2 linked regions of the Oreochromis niloticus genome follow. The protein of the gene in region 1 purifies or fractionates together with the protein of each later gene. This does not show direct contact. Links are inferred from orthologs where the notes say so. Each region holds a gene or a part of one and is shown on either strand. Other genes may lie near its edges.

The links. The genes of interacting proteins can lie anywhere in the genome.
Region 2: the proteins of rpl23 (region 1) and rplp2b fractionate together in Homo sapiens (co-fractionation; 4 studies listed by BioGRID). This does not show direct contact. The link is inferred for Oreochromis niloticus from reciprocal best matches to the Homo sapiens genes RPL23 and RPLP2.

Annotation. Positions count from the first base shown.
Region 1 is NC_031969.2:3,805,074-3,815,153, forward strand, and holds rpl23 (large ribosomal subunit protein uL14), read left to right. Parts: upstream 1-5,261; 5' UTR 5,262-5,366; coding exon 5,367-5,379; intron 5,380-6,454; coding exon 6,455-6,538; intron 6,539-8,104; coding exon 8,105-8,233; intron 8,234-8,680; coding exon 8,681-8,794; intron 8,795-9,223; coding exon 9,224-9,306; 3' UTR 9,307-9,353; downstream 9,354-10,080. Other genes in the region: putative C-type lectin domain family 20 member A, read left to right, coding at 1,880-2,011.
Region 2 is NC_031965.2:17,970,538-17,980,617, forward strand, and holds rplp2b (large ribosomal subunit protein P2), read right to left. Parts: upstream 6,117-10,080; 5' UTR 5,971-6,116; intron 5,166-5,970; 5' UTR 5,165-5,165; coding exon 5,042-5,164; intron 4,899-5,041; coding exon 4,850-4,898; intron 3,797-4,849; coding exon 3,701-3,796; intron 3,274-3,700; coding exon 3,197-3,273; 3' UTR 3,154-3,196; downstream 1-3,153. UniProt on the Homo sapiens protein: Plays an important role in the elongation step of protein synthesis.

The DNA of each region.
Region 1 (10,080 bases):
CCAAGTTTCAAACATTTAGCTGTTGATCTGAGGTGAACTTGAAGAATTTCGATGTAGTCCTACAATTATTCCATTCACTTTGTGCAATGTACCAGTACCACTAGCAGCAAAACAGCCACAGAGCATGATGCCACAACCATTTACTCCAGGGGTCTCAAACTCCAGTCCTCGAGGGCTGGTATCCTGAAACTTTTCCATGTGCCCTGTTGCAACGCACCTGAATACAATTAGTAGGTCATTAGCAAGCGTATAGAACTTGACTGCATGCTGAAGTGGCAACCCCTAACGCTAATCAAGTAAATTTAAGTAAATGTAAGTGTTTGGAAAAATGTACTTCTAAAAGTAATTTTATTGCACTATGTTAATTCACTCATGAGCATCCAATCATGTTCTATAGTGTCTTGCTAATGACCTACTAATTGTATTCAGGTGTGTTGCAGCAGGGACACATGGAAAAGTATCAGGACAGCGGCCCTCGAGGACTGGAGTTTGAGACCCCTGATTTACTCATTCAAACGTACCTCTTTTAATTGTGGCCAAATACCTCAGTCTTGGTCTTGTCTCACCATAAAAAGTTTCTCCAGAAGGCATTTAGCTTGTCCATATGGGCAGCTGCAAATTTCAGTTTAACCTAAAGATGCCAATTTTAGAGTAAGGGCGACTTTCTTGATTGGCACTCTCTCAGTCCAAGGCGATGTTAAACTTGCTTCTCTTTGGACTGCTGGTGTTCCAGCAGTTTTGAGTTCATGACACCCTTGAGCCTTGGCGATTATTCCTGAACATCCTAACTAATTTCCTGTCATCTGAGGGTGATAGTTTGGATCTTCTTCCAGAGAAGTGATGATAGATCAAAAATCTTGCACCTAAATATAAATTTTGATCACCATTGATCAATGGCCACGAGTAAATGGTAAATGGACTGGTTCTTATATAGCGCTTTTCTACTCTTCTGAGCACTCAAAGCGCTTTATACAACTTGTGCATTCACCCATTCACACCCATTCGCACAAGCACATTTTCTTAGTGCTTTCTAACTAACATTCACACACACATTCACACTCCAGCCACCCCTGCGTACCCTGAGTACCATTCACAGAGAGTTGGGGAATGACTGTAACTACAGCAAAAAATGACAGGATACCTTTTTAGACTGCGAGATTTCCATCAGTAATGGAGGGAATTTAAAAAGTTGATTTGTACCTTAAATCAGTGCATACGGATTAGTACTAAGAGCTAAAGTTCAGAGTTCCTAGAAGGAGCCCACGAAATCTTCAGGATTGAAGACTGTGTGGATGAAAGGACCAAAATCACACATGAGCAATGCATGTGACATCTGGATGTAGCGTTTTCAGTGGGCAAAACGTTTTGTCTCATCCAGATGAACAGAATCAATGTTTTGCCTGAATGATTGAGCACGCATCAAGACAATGTATTTGACTAGTTTCTGCATACAGGAGGCGTATTGAATCAGTCATCACCAACAAAGAGTTTTGTACAAAGTATTTTATCAGTTTCAGTAAGCGTGTTCAATACTTTTCCCTGTGTCATTTCTCCTTTTTCATTATTACATATAACCTAATTTATGGACATCTATGGTTTGATTTCTTTGCATGTGTGGATTGGATGGGTTGTTACCAACATGTGCTAAGAATTTTATGTCAACAGCACCTCTATGAGAATAGTTCAAAGCAATCATTAAAATTCCCAGATAAAAATGACATTATCCCCATGATAATTGTACATAAACGTCTGACCACTAATATATAATTTTTTATAATATGAAAATATTCTGATTGTTCTCAATCAGAAACTAGTGAAAATTAATAAAACACAAATTTCAGTCGCTGAGAGAATAATAAAAACTGTTTGTGATTCACAGCTTATTCAGAAACTGAAGGAGCAAAACATAGCTGGAAACGTGAAACTGAACTGGGTAAACCAGCCTGATGGAACGATCTTCAGCAAGAAGAATGAAGAGTACAAGGAAGAGGAGATATGCACCATCAAATGAAGATTTTGATTATCCAGCTTAGTATTGCATAGTTTAGGGCATCATAGTGTAGTGTGCCAGTGGCCAAGGTGGCATGGCTCATCGTTGGATAAAGAAAATTATATCACTTATATATATTATACTATACTATACTGTAGCACAACTTTTGCACTGTATTGCTTTCTATCACACATTAGACTGAATATCTCCTGAATGTATCATTTGAGAATATGAGTATCTTAAGGGATGCAGATTTTATTTTACAGAATATTTCAACTCAGATTTGCAACACTTTATTAAATCTAGTCCTGGCAAGTTTTCTCAAATTTGCCATGTAGAGAAAAAAAAAAATGAATGTTTGCTCTTACTCATTTCTGTTGTTTTGGGATTTTTTCCTTTATTTGTGGACATTAAAGGAATATTAATCAACTCTGATCATTAGTTATTCTTAAGAAAGAAGAATAGCAGAGGTGGTATGGAGACTGGAACGAACTGTAATAATTATACTTTGGCAAAATAAATTTTGGAAAGACAAATGATGTTTATTTTTTATCTATGTCAACATTTGGCAGTGTTTTATATTACAACTTGGTAATAATATGGCAATTGTGGGGTCATGATTTTACATGACAGAATAATCAGTTAAATATAATATATAGTTATTGTGTAAATTTTAAAATGAAGTCTATCCCACAAAACAGTTTTGGTAAGAATATAATATCTGTTAACAACAAAACTGTAAAATCTTTGTAATATCTGAGATTTTAAATAAAACATGTAGACATTCATGTTGGTTATCATGAGGTGATAAAGCCTTCAAAATTAGAAAAATATTCTCTGAAATATAATTTGGTAAATATACACTCAAGGTAAAAATGTGATAGTTATTCTTGTGGTTTTGTACCTGGAAACAATAGTGGTAATTTCTGTATGTTTCAGTGAACGATCAAAGCTTCAAAATTTGAATCTACCTGTTTTTAATTTTAAGTTAATAGTAGATTAAAATCAACTTCCAGAGCTATAATAATTATCTTTTTCTGCTACATTTCATAGTAATACTTTCCAAAAGTAAAAACCAAGGAGTCGGTCATACAAATCACTCAATGCTTGCTTGTTCAGGTTGGAGTACACACAGACATTAGTCACAAGGACATGACAGCTTTACCACAGACATGAGGTAGGACTTCTTACAAAGTACACGGACCATTTGGAGATTCACGCTTATCTTGAAGACATGATGAGAGTCCTGTGACTCATAGTATCAGGGCCCGCAGCCTTGCTTGAGTGGAGTTTCATCAGCTGTCTCGTGATTTGTTCAGCAGTAAAGGTGACTGGAGTGGGAGGAGTGGAAATCCTGATATAGAGCTCGGGATCAAGACATCACCAACACATTGCATTATGGGACTATTGTTCATATATTAATATATATTAATTATATAATATTAAATATTATTATTATAATATTAAAGAGAAGCTATTCCGAAAGTCAAGAAAAGTCAGAAAGCCATCTTAAATCTGCACTCTAATCAAAAAACAAGAGAAAGTGACATATTTCCTTGGCAATGTTACTTTTAAAAAAAACTGTCATGAACAACACAGGCTTATAGGTGTAAATTACTAATATAAATTGCTAATGTTTCCCAGTCATATGCAAAATGTTAAGACGATTGTGCAACACACCTGCAACTTGAATACAATACTTCAATGCAAGAGCTGTAAATTTAGGCGAGAATAAAGAGTAATATAACTAACTAACAACCTCTTATTACCAGTTTTAATTCACTTTTTATGTAAATAGATACATTTCTATAAAAATGTAACTTAACATGTTTCCCTTGTTACTGCAGTTTACCTGCAGTACCTTTGCAGCCTGGGAATCACTGTTATAGAGGTTGCTTTTGGATTTGAAAGCAAAAACATTCCCTTAAAACATTTAGAAACTCTTTATAATGGTGAGCTGTGTTGTAAAATGACATAAACATAAGATTACCTCTGTACAGCAGTCTCTGTTCAAAGGGTCCAAGTCTCTGATCCTAGGGGTATTACCACAATAGGTTAACAGAAACTGATTTAAGCCAGTGATGGGGGGATTCGCCCAGCACTCACTACTAAATGCCTACCCCGCAGTCTGCTACATGATGGGGACAGACAGATAGTCAGATAGCCCTGCTTACAGGACTTATTGATTAGATTCACTCACTGAATTCCATCATTACACTCTTTTTATACTGTCTAAGGGTTGGAAATCAGCCATGATAGCTTGTGTAATATTTAGTTATTTCTGGAAGAATTCGGATGGCTAAATCCACAAAGAACAACAGCAGAGGCCAGATAATCACAGTCTGTACTGGAGATCACAGAAACTATCACAACTTATTTCTAGGTATTTCTTTAACCACAATTAAGACTCTGACTATGCTTGTTTTCTTGTTTAGGTGTGACGTTAGATCAAAAATCATATTGACCCAACGGCCTACAAGTGTGTCTACCCTGGGCTGGATTACCAGTCCAATCCTGACCTCTGTTGATTCTTCATATTAGCTCAACAAGCTGTTTTACACCTGCTTCTGCTGCCCCAAGGGCCAGAACCCCCCCCCCCCCCAAAAGATATACATGTAGCCTCATATTCTTTTTTTTTTTCTTTAGAAAGAGGTGCATCTGAGTTTAAATTAATTTCTGTTGTCCCATCATGTGGATTACAATGTAATTTCCTTGAGTCCTTTGCTTAACTATATTTATGAAATGTATTTAAAGTCTTAACGTGACAGATTGAAGTTTTTAAATAGAGACACACATACGAGCACGTTGTTGTGTCAGTGATCTGTTTTGATTCATTATGATGAAATAACAAACCGTGAATGATATGAAATGATAATTTAGCCACAGGATTTTTTCAAACAAAAATGTGTTTATAAAGCACAGCAATAATTACAACAGTGTAACTTCTTAGCAGCCCAGACAAATGATTGTATAACCAAATTTCTATCCAAGACCGTTAAAATTATTTTTCAACCCTTTCACAAGACAGAATTAAACAGAAACTACATACAACAGGCAGGTAAATTGTTTAGGTAAACAGTAAATAATTTGATTCAAATACTAATAAAAACAAATTAAAAACTGGACTTGCAAAATTAAGAAACAGTGGGAAACTAAGGTAAACGCCATTTTTAAAACACGCAAGGCTAGTATAACATCACTTTGTGATCCAGTTCGATCGTAGACGCAAAAATGACGTAAACACCAAATTTGATTGATGAATTTTCCCGACTGTTCTTGAACGCAGCGCGTCTCGTCATCCTGACCCGGAGGAACTTCTGTTCTGCTTTATTACCCACAATTCCTTTCTCCGCCTTCCTCTTTCCGTGCTGCAGCAATGTCTAAGAGAGGTATGAGGCTTGCTTTGTAAAATCCACCTCCATCTGCTCTTTCTAAGATGAGCTACAGCTTATAGAGTTGCTTATGTGTGATAGAGAGGCTAAATCAATGTTTTTGTGTGACCAGTTTTAAAATTATGACAAAAGTTAGCGATTTTATAAAGATCGCGGTTGAGATGGGAAGTTGAAGGAAGCCATGTTTTTCGTTCAGCGCCATGTATTACTGAAACGAGAAATGCTAGAGGCCGAAAATGTGTACGTGCTAGTCGCATTTTCCTCCACACACTTTAGCCTTCTGTTTGGTGAAGGTCTTTATTTTTATGTGAATTATAACGATGCTTCCTGACCTGAAATTGTACCAATGAAGTGAATTCGTTTGTGGTAATCAGGGCTAGCCGGGAAAGCTAAGCAGCGCCGGTCTACATTAAGCGTGAATTATGGATAAGTTGGAGCTGCCAAATTTGAAACAAACTCTTGCTGAGCAAAATGGAAAATGCTTGTAGTTTTAGCTCTTGGTTACTACTTACTTGCGTTTACGCTTAACCCAGTGAAATGAAAATAGCTCTACAGTGTTCACGTGTTTTCCGGCTCCGAAATCAAACAGAATAGCAAGAAGTTGTATATTTGTCGTATGGTTTGTGCTAAGTTGGTTAAAAGGAGCTTAAGCTGCTGGCAACTGTGTAAACCAGTGTCGATGACTGCATACATGTAATGTCATTAAGGTTAGAAGTTCCTTTAGATTGGGCTTCTCTGAATTTTAACCATCATTGTGCCCTGACCTGATCAAAGGTCATATTCATGCTCTGTTATAAGCTTCAGTAAAGCATGCTGTAGCTTGTGGCTTATGTATTACAGTGGGTGTGTAGATTTCTCAAATGTGGCATTCGCTGCTAAAATGAAATGGACCCATGTGATGATTAAAGGCTTATCCGAGTCAGGGATTTCAGTGTCACTATAAGTACACAAGGGCACTTGTGGTAAATATTTACATTTGAAATATCAGTATCTTTCCTGAGTTTAAATCACAAATGCCCAATTTGTCAGGTAGAAATGATTCTTACTCGGACGTTTTTCTCTTTTCCTGCAGGACGTGGTGGTTCCTCTGGAGCCAAGTTCCGCATCTCCCTGGGTCTCCCAGTAGGAGCAGTCATCAACTGCGCGGACAACACAGGTAGGTCTGTGATAACTCGTTGCTGTGTCAGGTTGACTCCTGTTGGCTTTTCCTTTTGCTTCTCTTGTTCACCTTTTCTTTACAAAAAAGTCTTAAACTCTTAACTGATTGATGGGAATTTAAGATCCAGCCAAAAACTTACTGTTTTTCACGTTGAGCTGTTATCTTTTCACTAAGACCGGCCACATCATTCTTCACTGTATGTGATCTAGTTTATTTGGTGTGCTCCTTGTAGTGTTTGTGATTGTGTTGTTGTAAATGGGTCAAGTTAAAAGTAAAAACATCAAAGTATCACAAAAGGACAAAGTTAGTAAATCTCAGTTTTTTCAAATTTTGGAAGTGTTGTGAAACTGCTTCATTTTTAACTTGGTTATGGAGCATCAAATGCTGCTCAAGGATGAATGTACTGGAAACCTAGATTTATTTCTCTTACTGCTTGGAATGGCGAGAAACTCCTCACTACCTTGGTATTGTCCTGTGCAGAGAAGAAACCCCTTTACGCGTTATTCCCTGTAACTTCATAGTATTTTTTGTTTGTTGGTTTTTTCTTAATGCAGTTGTTTGCAGAGTAATGATCACAAAAGGTTAATAAAACACATTAGTAAGTGTAATCATTGTAGCTTTTGTGTAGATATTTGTTTTAATCCTTGTTGCTTATACCTGCTGATGTTTGCACTGAATAAGTCTGCTTTTTGTTGTTCTGGAAGCAGCTTTATCATTAAATGTAAGTGACGACTTGGAAAAACATGTCTACATGGTATCTACTATACTCAGTAATGCACATAAATGGATTATTTGAGGGTTTGGTTTTTTTTTAACCTCTGTGTGAAAATTAACATGTATGCAAAGCATCAGTGTGTCAGTTCTCGGAGAGAGGTTTTCTGTCAGGGTCTAATGTGACTGGAAATTAGGAAAACTTGGATCTCGCCCAAAATGGTTCTTTTGTTTCCACTTTCTCTAGAGAGAATGCTTTTGACCACAAGTTTGATTGTACCTGAAGGCTCACATAACTTAAAATCTATGTTCAAAAACATGTTGTTGAAGTTAAACTTGGATTTATATGCAGATTAATGAGCACTCTTGATAACAGTGTATAATTATTTAACCTGGGGGGGGGGTAAAGTAATTATACACTGCAGGCGTGTTGTTTTTCTAGAACAAATTTAAAAAGTACTTAGCAAAAAAGGAAACAGTTTCAGAACTTTGAGTACCTGCATCTCACATAATGTGAACCTGGCCATAAACATAGCACTGTTGTTTGAAAGTGAAAATGCAATAACAGGATTGAAGAATTTGGACAATGGCTACTAGTTGGTTACTTCTGTCCACCCCTTCCAAAAGCACTTGCTTTGTCTGCTCAGTGGCTCGGTGAGTTGTCGTAGAAGGGAATATTGATTTCATCACTGTGGGTGAGACAGCAGCGACCCCACTGTGGCTGACTGATCTCAATCAGGGATGAGACAAGCTGACAACGTGGTTTTGTCATAAACAGGAGCGGGAGTAGATCTTATTTTCTTCCACCCTGTCCTCTGTTCTCATTATGGTGTTTCTCACTATGTTTTTCAGGTGCCAAGAACCTGTACATCATCTCTGTGAAAGGCATCAAGGGCCGTCTGAACCGTCTTCCTGCTGCTGGAGTTGGTGACATGGTCATGGCCACAGTCAAGAAAGGCAAGCCAGAGCTCAGGAAGAAGGGTAAGTGGGAAACTGGTCGTCATGCAGTCTTCACCAGACATGTAGGTTCTGTTTGCGGCGTTGCACACTCTTTCATAAACTCATTATTAAATGTCATTTAAGCTGCTTTCATGCATGTGCTGTAATTTGTCAATGGCGAATAACAAAACAAAATTAAAATAAGGAGCAATATCTCCATTCAGTCTTTCTTCTGTGGATCCATTAACAACGAAGCTGGTGACTGTATTCCTCTTTGTCTGTTCAGCTTTACTTTAGTGAAACATGCAGGTTCTAGTTGGAGTAGCCTTTCAGCTGGAAGATCCCTGGAGCAGAGCAGGAACTACAGTCACCAGCTGCAGTCTATAAATGTCTAAATATAAGTTGCTAGTCTCAGTTGCAAAAAGTGTTTAAATGCGGTTTTTAGTTTTAAATTTTGAGCTCAAATGAACCTTGTTCCCCTCTCCACAGTGCATCCTGCGGTGGTGATACGGCAGCGGAAGTCGTATAGACGAAAAGATGGCGTGTTTCTCTATTTTGAAGACAACGCGGGTGTCATAGTAAACAACAAAGGAGAAATGAAAGGTGGGTTTTTGAAACGTGGCGTGTCATTCATCCTGCTTGCTGTACAGGGAGATGATTGGTGTGTTGTCATGACAGGAGCATATTTGCCCTTCCAAAAGCACTTGCTTTGTCTGCTCAGTGGCTCGGTGAGTTGTCGTAGAAGGGAATATTGATTTCATCACTGTGGGTGAGACAGCAGCGACCCCACTGTGGCTGACTGATCTCAATCAGGGATGAGACAATTTATAAATACTCAGTACAACTTTTTCTTGTAATGTATTGGTTAATGTGATGTTTCACCCAAACTATGTGCTCCCAGTAATGAAAGTAACACCACCTTATAAATTTATCTAACTTTTATGCCTCTCCACTGTAAAATCAGTTTATTTTTCAAGCTTTTAAAATAACATAAGTATTGGGACTTGCGTACCTTTGTGTGTGTGTCTACAGGTTCTGCCATCACAGGCCCAGTGGCCAAAGAGTGTGCTGACCTGTGGCCCAGGATTGCCTCCAATGCTGGCAGCATAGCCTGAGCTGGACCCCGCACCTGTTTGTTTTCAATAAAAACTTGTTATTGAGATGTGTCTTGGTTGTTTCATTTACCTTTCAGTCCAAAATATTAAGACTATTACAGAAAAAGCTCTTATGGTTTTGATTAATATTCATAAAGAAACAAGTATATGCTCAGAACTTGTTTGCTAATATGAAGTTTATTTTTCTTTTATATTCAATATTTACATGACTGAGAGCTGGTACACCTTGCAGTTCCTCACATTAGATACACTAGGGCCAACAAAGATATTGAAGGTGTTAACAAAAATGTCAAGACTACAGCTGGGGGTGGTCAAAACTTTGAACCTGACTGGAGAATTTAAATCAAAGCAAAGAACAAACTCGTGAGGGGTGAATTATTTTACAGCAGATATGAGGAAGGGATAGAAACCACACAATATTAATAAAGAGGATTACACTTCAAAATGTGTTTCTACAGTGTCTAGCTGTCTCCACCTAAACGTGAATGAAATCTTCCCCAAGTCGACTTCTTTATAGGAGTATGGCAGTAATAGAGTTTAGAATGTACAGTGGAGGTGACCTGCGAATTGGCATGTATGTGTACACCATCCTTTTCCAGCTAGTGTATAAATGTGCTTTCCTGATCAGCCATTTTCAGTTCTGTCTGCTGTACTTGGACATCCCTGGCACCTCACTGCTTGGCAGATGGAAGCCACACTACCATCTGCATAGAGCATGTTTTCTCTGTCATAGATGCCTTCATCATGCCCATGTTACAAGGTCAATCGGTCTGA
Region 2 (10,080 bases), on another chromosome or scaffold:
GACACGACAGGGAAGTGCATCCGCAGCCTGCTGAAGGCCACATTTGATGAATCTGTTTACTTAAATCACTATCATCACTGAGCAGCCATCATCATCATTTTCTCCTTGTACACTGGAGTGCTAATACAGCATAATTGGAGGCTCTCTAAACAGAGCACCTTATGAATATTCACAAACACAAAGGAGCTCATTGTCTTCACAGGCGTGACAATTTTAGCCATGGGTCTCAACTGATAATTGGACAAGGATATGGAGGTACATGCAGAGGGCATGTCCGTGCAACCATGCACTGAATGCCCGCGTTAAGTCAGTGCTTCCTGTGGGTATGAGTATCATTTGCTTATCATTTGAGTCTCCTCACATGTGCATTAATTTGTCGTGCTTTCCTGATCTTCATCTGCTGAACAGCTTTTATGACAACACAAAAGAGTCACACTGCTGGAAAATTAATGCAGCCATTAAGGCTTTTTTTTAAATAGCTCTGTGTGTGCGCATGCTTCACTAATGTGATGAACCTCTATTCAAAAACAACTCCTAACTCCTAAAGCATGTGACTCATACACCATACCTAGTTCCTAAGGTTACTCATCAAATTAAAATGGAATTGACCAGCTGGTACGCTAAAGGAGATCAATGGAGGGAAAGGTCAGGGATGTGCCTGTCAACTGCCAAAGTTTCACTGAGCGTTTCATTATCAGCTGATAGAAACTACTGTCTCCCTCCCTAAGCAGCCATGCCCGCTTACTTCTACATCCATTATTCACCTCCTACATTCTTCTCCCTGACTGGAGAGACTGGTCCGTACAGCTGGTGTACCACGTCTACCTCCTGAATGTGTCCAGACTTCTGTTCGTTCTGTTTCTCTTTTTTTTTGCTTTCTTTGATTGCCTTCACGCGAATGAGGCAATTACTCCGAAATCTGCGCATCTTATTCACATTTTCCTCTGAAGAGGGAAAAACACAATAATCTGGTAAATTGTTTCTGTCTAGCCTGCTTTTTGCAGAACAGTCCAATCAATATCCCGTTTACCAGTAGGGATGCTGTGATTCAAGTTTTTCTCCATTGATTTTGACTGTGGAAAGTTTGAAAGTGACATCAGTGTTTCCCACAGATTTATGGGCTATTTGTGGTATTAGTGGGGGTGTGTGCCAAGAAAAATGCACACACTTCCCTAAATGAATTATTTAAAATGTCTGCAGATATTTTATCTGCCTAACAATTTATGAGAATAATAACTGAGCAAACTGATCAGCTGCCGCTCGAGTAAGTTTTTTTGGTGAAAAGTGTTGACTGTTTGATTGAAGTACTCGTTCTGGCCTGTAGCCTCTGAAGTGTCATTTAAATATGACCGCAAAAGAAAGTCCATGCCTATAAACTGCTATGTTAAACTGCCCAATTTTACAGTATTAAAAGACATACATGCTGCCAGGTATAGAAAATGTTTTGGGCCTCTGTGGACAGTTTGATTCACAGGTGTCCCATGCTAGGCAGCATTCACTACTTTGTTGTTTGAACATTTTTATGCATCTAACTTGAAAAATAAACACGCATAAGCTGTCTGGGTTAAAGCTGTCGCACAGATCATAAAAAAGAACAATTGTGCTGTAATTGTTTTCAAATTAAAATTTCAAAGCTTTTTACAAGGAAGCAAATGTTTCAGCATTTGATCTTTGATTTTCAGTAGGAATGGATCCATATTTGAGCCAAATCTTTCTAGTGAGCTATCCGTCTTCTCTTTTAACCTCCTAAGACCCGAACTCTTCCACACCATGCATTTTTAATTTCTCTTTGATATTTGGTCACATTGGGGCCCAATGAATGTAAAAACAAAGAATTTCCAGATTTTTTGTTTTTACCTTATTTTTGTTTTTAAGAAAAACGAGAGCCACAAATGAGGATATTCATTTAAAATTTTGATAGAACAGTAGCAGTATAATGTCCTCGTAAGTGGATATCAGGCCCATGTAGAGCAAAATTGAGTATTTTGGTCAAAATAACCAAAAATGTGATGTCCACATATGTGGACGCCATGTTCTAGGAGGTTAAACAAGACCCAAATGTAGGACGATGTCCTAATATGTAGGACAAGGGGTCAAGGTATAAAATGCTGTTCAGCTCCACGTGAAGTAGGACACCTTGTCACCCTAGATACTTGGAAGAGGCAATCAGTAGAACTCCCAGTCAATAAAAACAACGTGTGATGTTTGGTCTCATATAATGAGACAAAATTGCTCTTGATACTGGACGCCTGTGCTGTTTATACTGTGGTGAATAATTTACATTCTGGGTGTCGACCTTTACTCGGTGATAATATGCGTTCACGAGAGTGTTTGTTTTAATTTTATTATCGCTTCTAACACGTTACTTATTACACCTGAGCTGTTTTGTAAAAACGTTTGTTCCCTGCCAAAATCTAATGAGTTAACTATAAAAGTATAATTTCTAGACCAACGCTTGAATTTTACATACATGTAGGTTTGCGTTTTACTCACATCAAGCATTGTAAAACAGTCTTCTCTTACTTGTTAAATGCATTTTATAAAGGTTAAACATTAAGATGTATGCGAGTACTGATATTGACTAATGTGTAAAGTTGTTATAGCGACAGGCTGCCGACACTCAATCGGCGAAGCGTTTATCCTTTACACAACTGTCTTATTTACCTTTACGCTATGCAATTAAAGCAGCAGCATTCTTTCTTTTTCCTCAAAACTCATTTTTCTTTTCTTGCAACTGCACTTTTCCCCCTCGGAGGCTCACTGCTGCTGACACACAGAGGACTACGTGCAGCTTCAGCCGTGCTGGCAGCTCGCCGTCACGTGACACTTTATCCTTAGCTGTAAATAATTCAAGTGTTGGCCTCACCGGTGTCAAGTGTGGAGATCTGTGTCTAAGCTCGTGGATAATTCAAACCGCTGAACAAAAGCCCAAAATGAAGGATCTGGTGTCGTCTGCTTTCATCCCTTTAGCGCTGAAAGGCTCCACAGCGCCATCTACTGAGCACTGGGATCAATTTCATCAGCCAGAGCCTTTTCAGATTTTTGTTTTTTTCTCCATTAATTTGAATAAGTTCACATACCCGAACACTGAATAGGCCCGATCAGGTCAAATTACACAACCTCACAAGTTTTAAAGTAAAGAGAAAAGCTGCATAAGAGGGATTTTGTAAAAACTTTATTGATCAGCTCAAGGAGTTTAATCGAAGAGGCCGAATCCCATGTCATCATCGGACTCCTCAGACTCTTCCTTCTTCTCCTCTTTCTTCTCCTCAGCTGAAAAACAAAAAGCACTTGATATCACTTCCTGCTGTCATCACCATGACACAGCAACCTGCTCATGTGGTTGCCTAATATAACGGGTGTTTTGAAATATAATTAAATGCAACTGATTTTTATTTTTGAATTTCCCAGTTTTTGTTGGGTGTTGCTTACACGCTGCTGTATTAATATGAAAACAAAAAAAAGCCTCTTTTCTAAAACCATTAAACTTAAAACCTTAGCATAAATTAAATTGCCTGCACTGTATTTACCCAGTATAGTGTGGATTTTGTGTGGATTAACTTGTTTAGATGCATCTTTCATGTCAACAGATCATTATTTGGCTCCATGTAGTTGTACAAACATACAAGGTGAAGGCAAAATCACAAAGTGCCAAATATGATTGATGGTGCCAAACAAGGTGCTAAGCTGCAATGCTCACCTGCAGCAGGAGCTGCGGCTCCGCCTGAGCCAGCAGCTGCAGAGCTGGCAACGGCTACGGCACCACCTGCTGGCATGCTGGCCAGCTTACCGTAACCTGAGGAGACACGAGTTGGCAGACATGAAGCACAAGTGATAACATCGACACTCAGCAGTCAGAAACAAGACAGAGGTCAGAAACAGTCCGTTATCATTACATGTGGTCTGACTTTACACATCTCATTAAATACAACTTTTTTCTTATCTCATATTCAAATCGATTCACTTTGTCCAATAGGATATAATGCCCTGCAGGTTTATAGAAACTATGGCAAGAAAACTCTTGAAATTATCACAGCAAATGCACCATGACACACACATGAAATATTTTATTTCTGCCCACAAATAGGGTGCAAGATCAGCTATCACGAAGACCCAAATAAGAAAATGAAATATTGATGTTTTACTACTTGTACTCACACCATCCCAACTGTATTTTAGGATTGTTTTTGCATTACAAGTATCACTTGCTGCATGCACCAATAGCGCTGATATTAACCTTTAACACTGTGCCACTTTTCTGCCCATCTGCAGTACTCTACATTATGACATTTATATTTCATACTGTTGTTCTTAGCTGTATCTTTTTTTTAGTAGTTGTTTAGTAATTAGTTCTTTTTTTAGTCTTTTAAACTTGATACTGTGTTTGTTTTTAATTCTTACTGCACAGAGTGTGTAAGATGACTAATAAAACTTCATAAGTATAATTTGTGTATACAATAAGTAATTTGTATATACACAATACCTTTATTAACCATTTTCAATGAACAAATTCTCCAGTATAACTGTGATCCATACACACTGTGCCATCCTCCATTGCTGAGGAATCCAGCATTGAGAGCTTAGTTCACTCATATTTTTAATAAATCTTTTTTTTTTTAACCCTTAAATCTGTTTTTCCTGTGCGTCAAAGGAGTTTATCACTAGTCACAATATCCAACATCATAAACTAGTTCAGACCCCTGCAGGCAGTCCATTTCAGTATTAAAATCATGCCTGAATCCATTTAATTCTAAACTTTCAGACCTAACAACATTTCAGCCAAACAAAATTTTAAACCAAAATTAATCATGGTCTCACACACACATAAATGAAACTGCGGGAAACTCACCTGTGGCAATAACGTCATTCACGTTCTTGCCCTTCAGCTCACTGATAACCTGTTGGGAGAGAGAGAGAGAGAGAGAGAGAGAGAGAAAGAGAGATGCAATTATAAACATAACCTAAAGGTAGGAACCAGCTGCTGGGAAAAACTGAAGCCACAACAGTAATAAAACACAAAGAGGAGCAGGTGGCTGTGTACCTTGTCGAGGCGTGTGTCATCGGTTTCAATGCCAACGCTCTCCAGGATCTTCTTGATGTCCTTGGCATCAGGGTTTTCATTGCCACCGAGGGCAGCCAGCAGGTAAGCAGCAACGTAACGCATCCTGAAACACAAAGTTTACTGGAAACATTAGTAACCATGCTTGACGTTTGTATGGACACAGGAACATGAGTGATGTCTAAAGTTCAGACAATCTGTTTTTACATTAACAAAAGTGGAAACACCACAACTCACACAAACATGTTCATTTTGCTTCATTATCAGCATATGATAAATTTTTATATAAAAATCAAAGCCTGGAGAAAGTCATGACATGTCTCAAAAGATCAATCTCTGACTTTTATGTGAAAATGTTACGGTTTATAAGAAATATATGGCTTCATCACAGCAGGAAAATATTAAATGTTGTCCCTGTTAATGCATCATTAAAAAAACAAAACATAAAAAAGACATACGGTCGACCCCTTCAGGGGTCAGTTTTTTCCCCGGGTTTAGACAGCTACAGGACTGTGATCCCAACGCATTTCTGAGTTATTACGGCGATTTTCAGTAAAACAGCAGTTCGCTGCTTCACTTTACAGCCGATACCCATCGTCCACTTATCTAAAAACTACATATTTTCCAATATTGAATATGCTTCTACTAAAATACAATTTTCTCTACCTCTATAAAGCCTAAAAAATGCGACAATGTGGGAAAACACAGCATAATTTTAACACCCATGCGGCTCTCCGCTACCATTAGCCAACCTAGCGTCAGCTCCGGGAGCCAAAGAACGGAATTAATGTCGGCTAAACGCTCTTTAATGTTCTTAAAATGCCTGGGCTGAAAATGTACATGCTTATCTGGGTGGCTCGGTTATTTTCTTAGTGTTTAACACATTATTTACGTTTTAAAACCAAACTTACTTGAGCTAGATAGGAGAGCGCGTGTTCACTCTGAGGTTAGCACGGACAGAAAGGAAGTTACGTCACCGGAAAAAAGCAAAGTAGCCTTTCTTCTTCGTAAGCGCATTAAAAGTAAGTAGGAACCGAGGCGAGGCCTGCTGCTCAGGAGTGTGTTTGCAACCTCGGTGTAAAAACTTTACCTAACGCGAAATATTACACTAAAGAATACATTCAAATTCTCCTTCTTCCCCTTCTTTTTTTTTCTTCTTCCTCCTGTCCCCCCCTAGGAGTTGCCACAGATTATCTGCCTTAATTTCACCCTATGTCTTGCGTCCTCCTCTGGTATACCAACCCTCTGGATGTCCACCTTCTCTCACTCAATGAATCAGTTTTGTGGTCTTCCTCTTATGCTCCTATATGGCATCTCCAGATTCAATATCCTTTGTCTCTTTAACTTTGCTTTCAAACTGTTCAACCTAAGCTGTCCTTCTGATGTACTCATATCCTGTATAAAAGAGTTGGAGCTTGTAACTACATGCTTTATTGATATGAAGTGCTGGATGAAATGTCACTTTTACAAGAATCAAGGTTACTTTAATGTCGCTGTGTAGAAAAAAAAAGTGACACTGTACACTTCCTGGAAAATTAATTTCTCAGGAGTTCTCAGGAAACAGTCTTTGTTGTACTTTTTGTGATGAGGCAGTGTGTGTTGTGTGTCTGTGTGAGGTGCCTGAAACTAAACACTCCCTCCAACCCTTTTCCATATACAGTGTTGTGAACAAATATAAAAAAAAAAGAAAGAAATCAGGAAGAGGGCAAATACTTTTTCACAGCACTGTATACATAAGGGAGCTTGAGAGAGTCTCCGGTTTCAGGGACCTCACATGGACATACAACACGCACTGCCTCATTAAAAAAGCATAACACAGACTGTTTCCTGAGAACAGCACTGTATGTTCAGTGGTAAGTGGCCATTCTGACTTCTCCTGAACTCAATTATCAGTTCTCTGGTCCTGTTGGTATTTAGAACCAACTTGTTTTCAGCACATCAGCCTGTCAGCTTCTGAACCTCTGCAGGCAGACTCATCTCCTCCACTGATCAGCCCTGCCACGGCATTGTCTGCGGACTGCGGAAGCCACGGCATTGTCTGATGGGTTTTGTGTTACAGCGTAGCGTGCAGTCATATGCATACAGGGTATGCAGAGTAAAGAGAAGGGCTCCAGCTGCAACCTTGTGTGGCTCCTGTGCTGAGTATGTGAGTGGACTGGCTGTGGACACTTGGAGGCCTAGACTGGACATCCTGTGAACATTTTTCTTTCATTATAAATTATTTATGAAACTTGACCAACTGTGAATAAATGTAAAAGTTTACAAGTCGTGGGCCGAGTTTCTTTGGAACTAACTTCCAGTGAGGCAGGTTTATAATATGGACAAATCAATGTCGCAAAACACAGCTGTTTTTTGTTAACATAACGCCTAATATAATGCACAATAGTAATCAATTGCTTATTAACTAATAATAAAGTATTAGAGGCGTTTGTAAAGCCTAATCATAACCCTGTTAGAGAGTGAGGAACTAAACAAGAAGAAAAGCAGTAAAGACATTTATGTAGATGTATTATTTTAATCTTGCGATCTTTCAAGATGGGTGGGAACAAATCTCTGAGATTTGTTTTAGCATAGTGCAACATTAAATTATAGTTCGCTTGTTTTTTAATTTGCACTCTGTTCAATTAAACAGGAAAAATAAATAAAATCTTAAATTATCCACAAAGGTTACTGGGAATCCATATTTGTATCTCATTCAGGAGACTTTAATCAACCTTCTTCTGGTGCTGTTTGCAGGAGTCCATCCCTACCTCATTATTTGGGTCAATACTCGTGTATAAGATAAGATAATAATCAGATAATATCTGTACATCATCTGCATCTTTTTGCAAATGAAGCTTTGTGCTTTCGTGACTCTGCAGCAGCTCTCCTCTAACCATTTCAGTGTGTGTTACACTGTATATGAACATGAATCAGCTTCTTCCTCCTTGTCTGCTGCTACTGCTCACTTGGCTCCTGGTCCGGTTTGGCCTCCTGCCTCTTCTTCTGTCCCTGCTGCTGCTGCGTTTGGTCCTGGGTGTGATTGATTTCAGTTGCCAGAAGAGACGAAGTGAACCATCCACACATGAGAGCCTGCGACGGATGGCGTCAATGCCATGAGAAGGCAGCAGCTGTGCTGTGCTCTCAAGCTGTAGTGTGAACAACCAGCTCTAATGAATCGCTGTCACGTGCGCTGCTTGGTTCCAGGAGAACAGGCCCGAGCTCTTGTTACAGACCTCCTTCCTCTCAGACATATACAGTCTGGATGGGGCGCAAAGACTACTTAATACTGACAAGAGCAGCAAACTTACAGGAGTTACCTGAGAGGGATACTTGTCAGATAGGCAGACTGTTGTCTTAAACGAACTTGGATGTATAACATTTAGTGAGTAAGCATTTATTTCTGGATTTCATCCCATTTCTGTAATTTTCATCACAGAAAATTATAATTAAGGTACCAAAACCGCATGGGAGAATGGGTTTAACCTCATTAAAGCATTCTTTCATAATATTCATTGTCATATTAGAATGATATTCAGGATTTACTTCAGTTTACAAGCAAACAGAGGTCTGTCCACAGTATACGTGGGAGAAACGCTAAGATGAAAGGGCTGGTTAAATATATACAGAACACAGACCACTAATGTCAAGGTTCATGGTGAGAGTCATCCTTGTAAAAGCAATAATAATGATAATAATGAAAAGGTTCTTTATAACGCCAAGATTAAATCACTAACTGAAGATTGTCAATATTAGAAAATGTTTCCAGGATTGTCCCATGGTGTCATCTGAGTGCCTGCGGTTACAAAGACGAGGTCAATAATCAGGCTTTAGTTTAACTTTTATTTAATTATTATTAACTGGGAAATAAGTTGTTACAAATATAACACTAAACGACAAGTTTTAAAACAGCAATCAGCAAGAAATGACTAAACAAAGAACTGTGGTATAAGGACAAATGTACAGGGCCATCTACATATTACACTGCTCAGCTGCTCAGACATGGAGATTCGCACCTCAAAGCTACCTGCGCACAGTCTTCATGCTGATGTTAATGCCAGAGGAGGTTTGGAGCGCTGCAGTTTCTGGGTCTGCAGAGTGTTGGCGGCTTTAAGTGCTTTTTACTACAAGCCCCAATAGAACCTTTTAATGTTTAATTTTAAAATTTCAAGAATTAAGAGGTGTGGCCCAATACTTTTGTCTGTATAGTGTATTATTAGCCTTGATATTTGTGAATGTTAACGATTTATCTTTGCATTGAAAAAACTTTAGGAAAAAAACTAACAAAGTATCATAATAAATGCTTGTTTTTATGGATTTGTACTTTGTTTTATCTTTCCTTTTTCTGTGGAAAGAGCCAACAGAAAATATCTCTGGATATCAACGAGTGTCAGCTCCTCCGCCCTCTGGAGCAATCAGCCCACAGAAGTGACTCATATTGAATATATTTCGAATATAGAGGAAAACGATGGACACAAAAGAACTGCTGACCTTCATGCAGTCATGTCATTCGGTCCTTTACTTTGTTCCCCTCTGTTATCCTAAGCATTTCACTCTACCCCTGATGGCCGTGTCTGTCCTTGTGTGATTATTTCTTTTTTTTTTCTTTTTTTTTTTGAAAAAGTAGAAATAAGAAAGCATCTTATAAAGACTAGTGGAAAAACAGACGTCAGTGATGAAATTAATTTCAACCTGCCACATAGTACGTCTATATGTTTGTGGCATAGAGCCATAGTTGGTTATATTAGAGAAGTCAAAATAGCTGCTGTTTATTCAGACAACGAATTTACAGTTTCTGTGCTACTTGATTTTTCTATATGCATCTAATGATTAATACAGTTTTCAATGGAAATCTGAACTTACTCATGATTGTCCTTGTTGTGATTTTATCTTTATGTTCCACTTTCACATCCATTTGGGTATTTCCATAATACTCCGACCACATTTCCTTACCTTTTAGTTTTGGTGACGATCTTGTGTCTGGAAGTATGTGAAAGCAAATATTTGACCATTTCCTCTATGCCATAACAAGTAGTGCTACA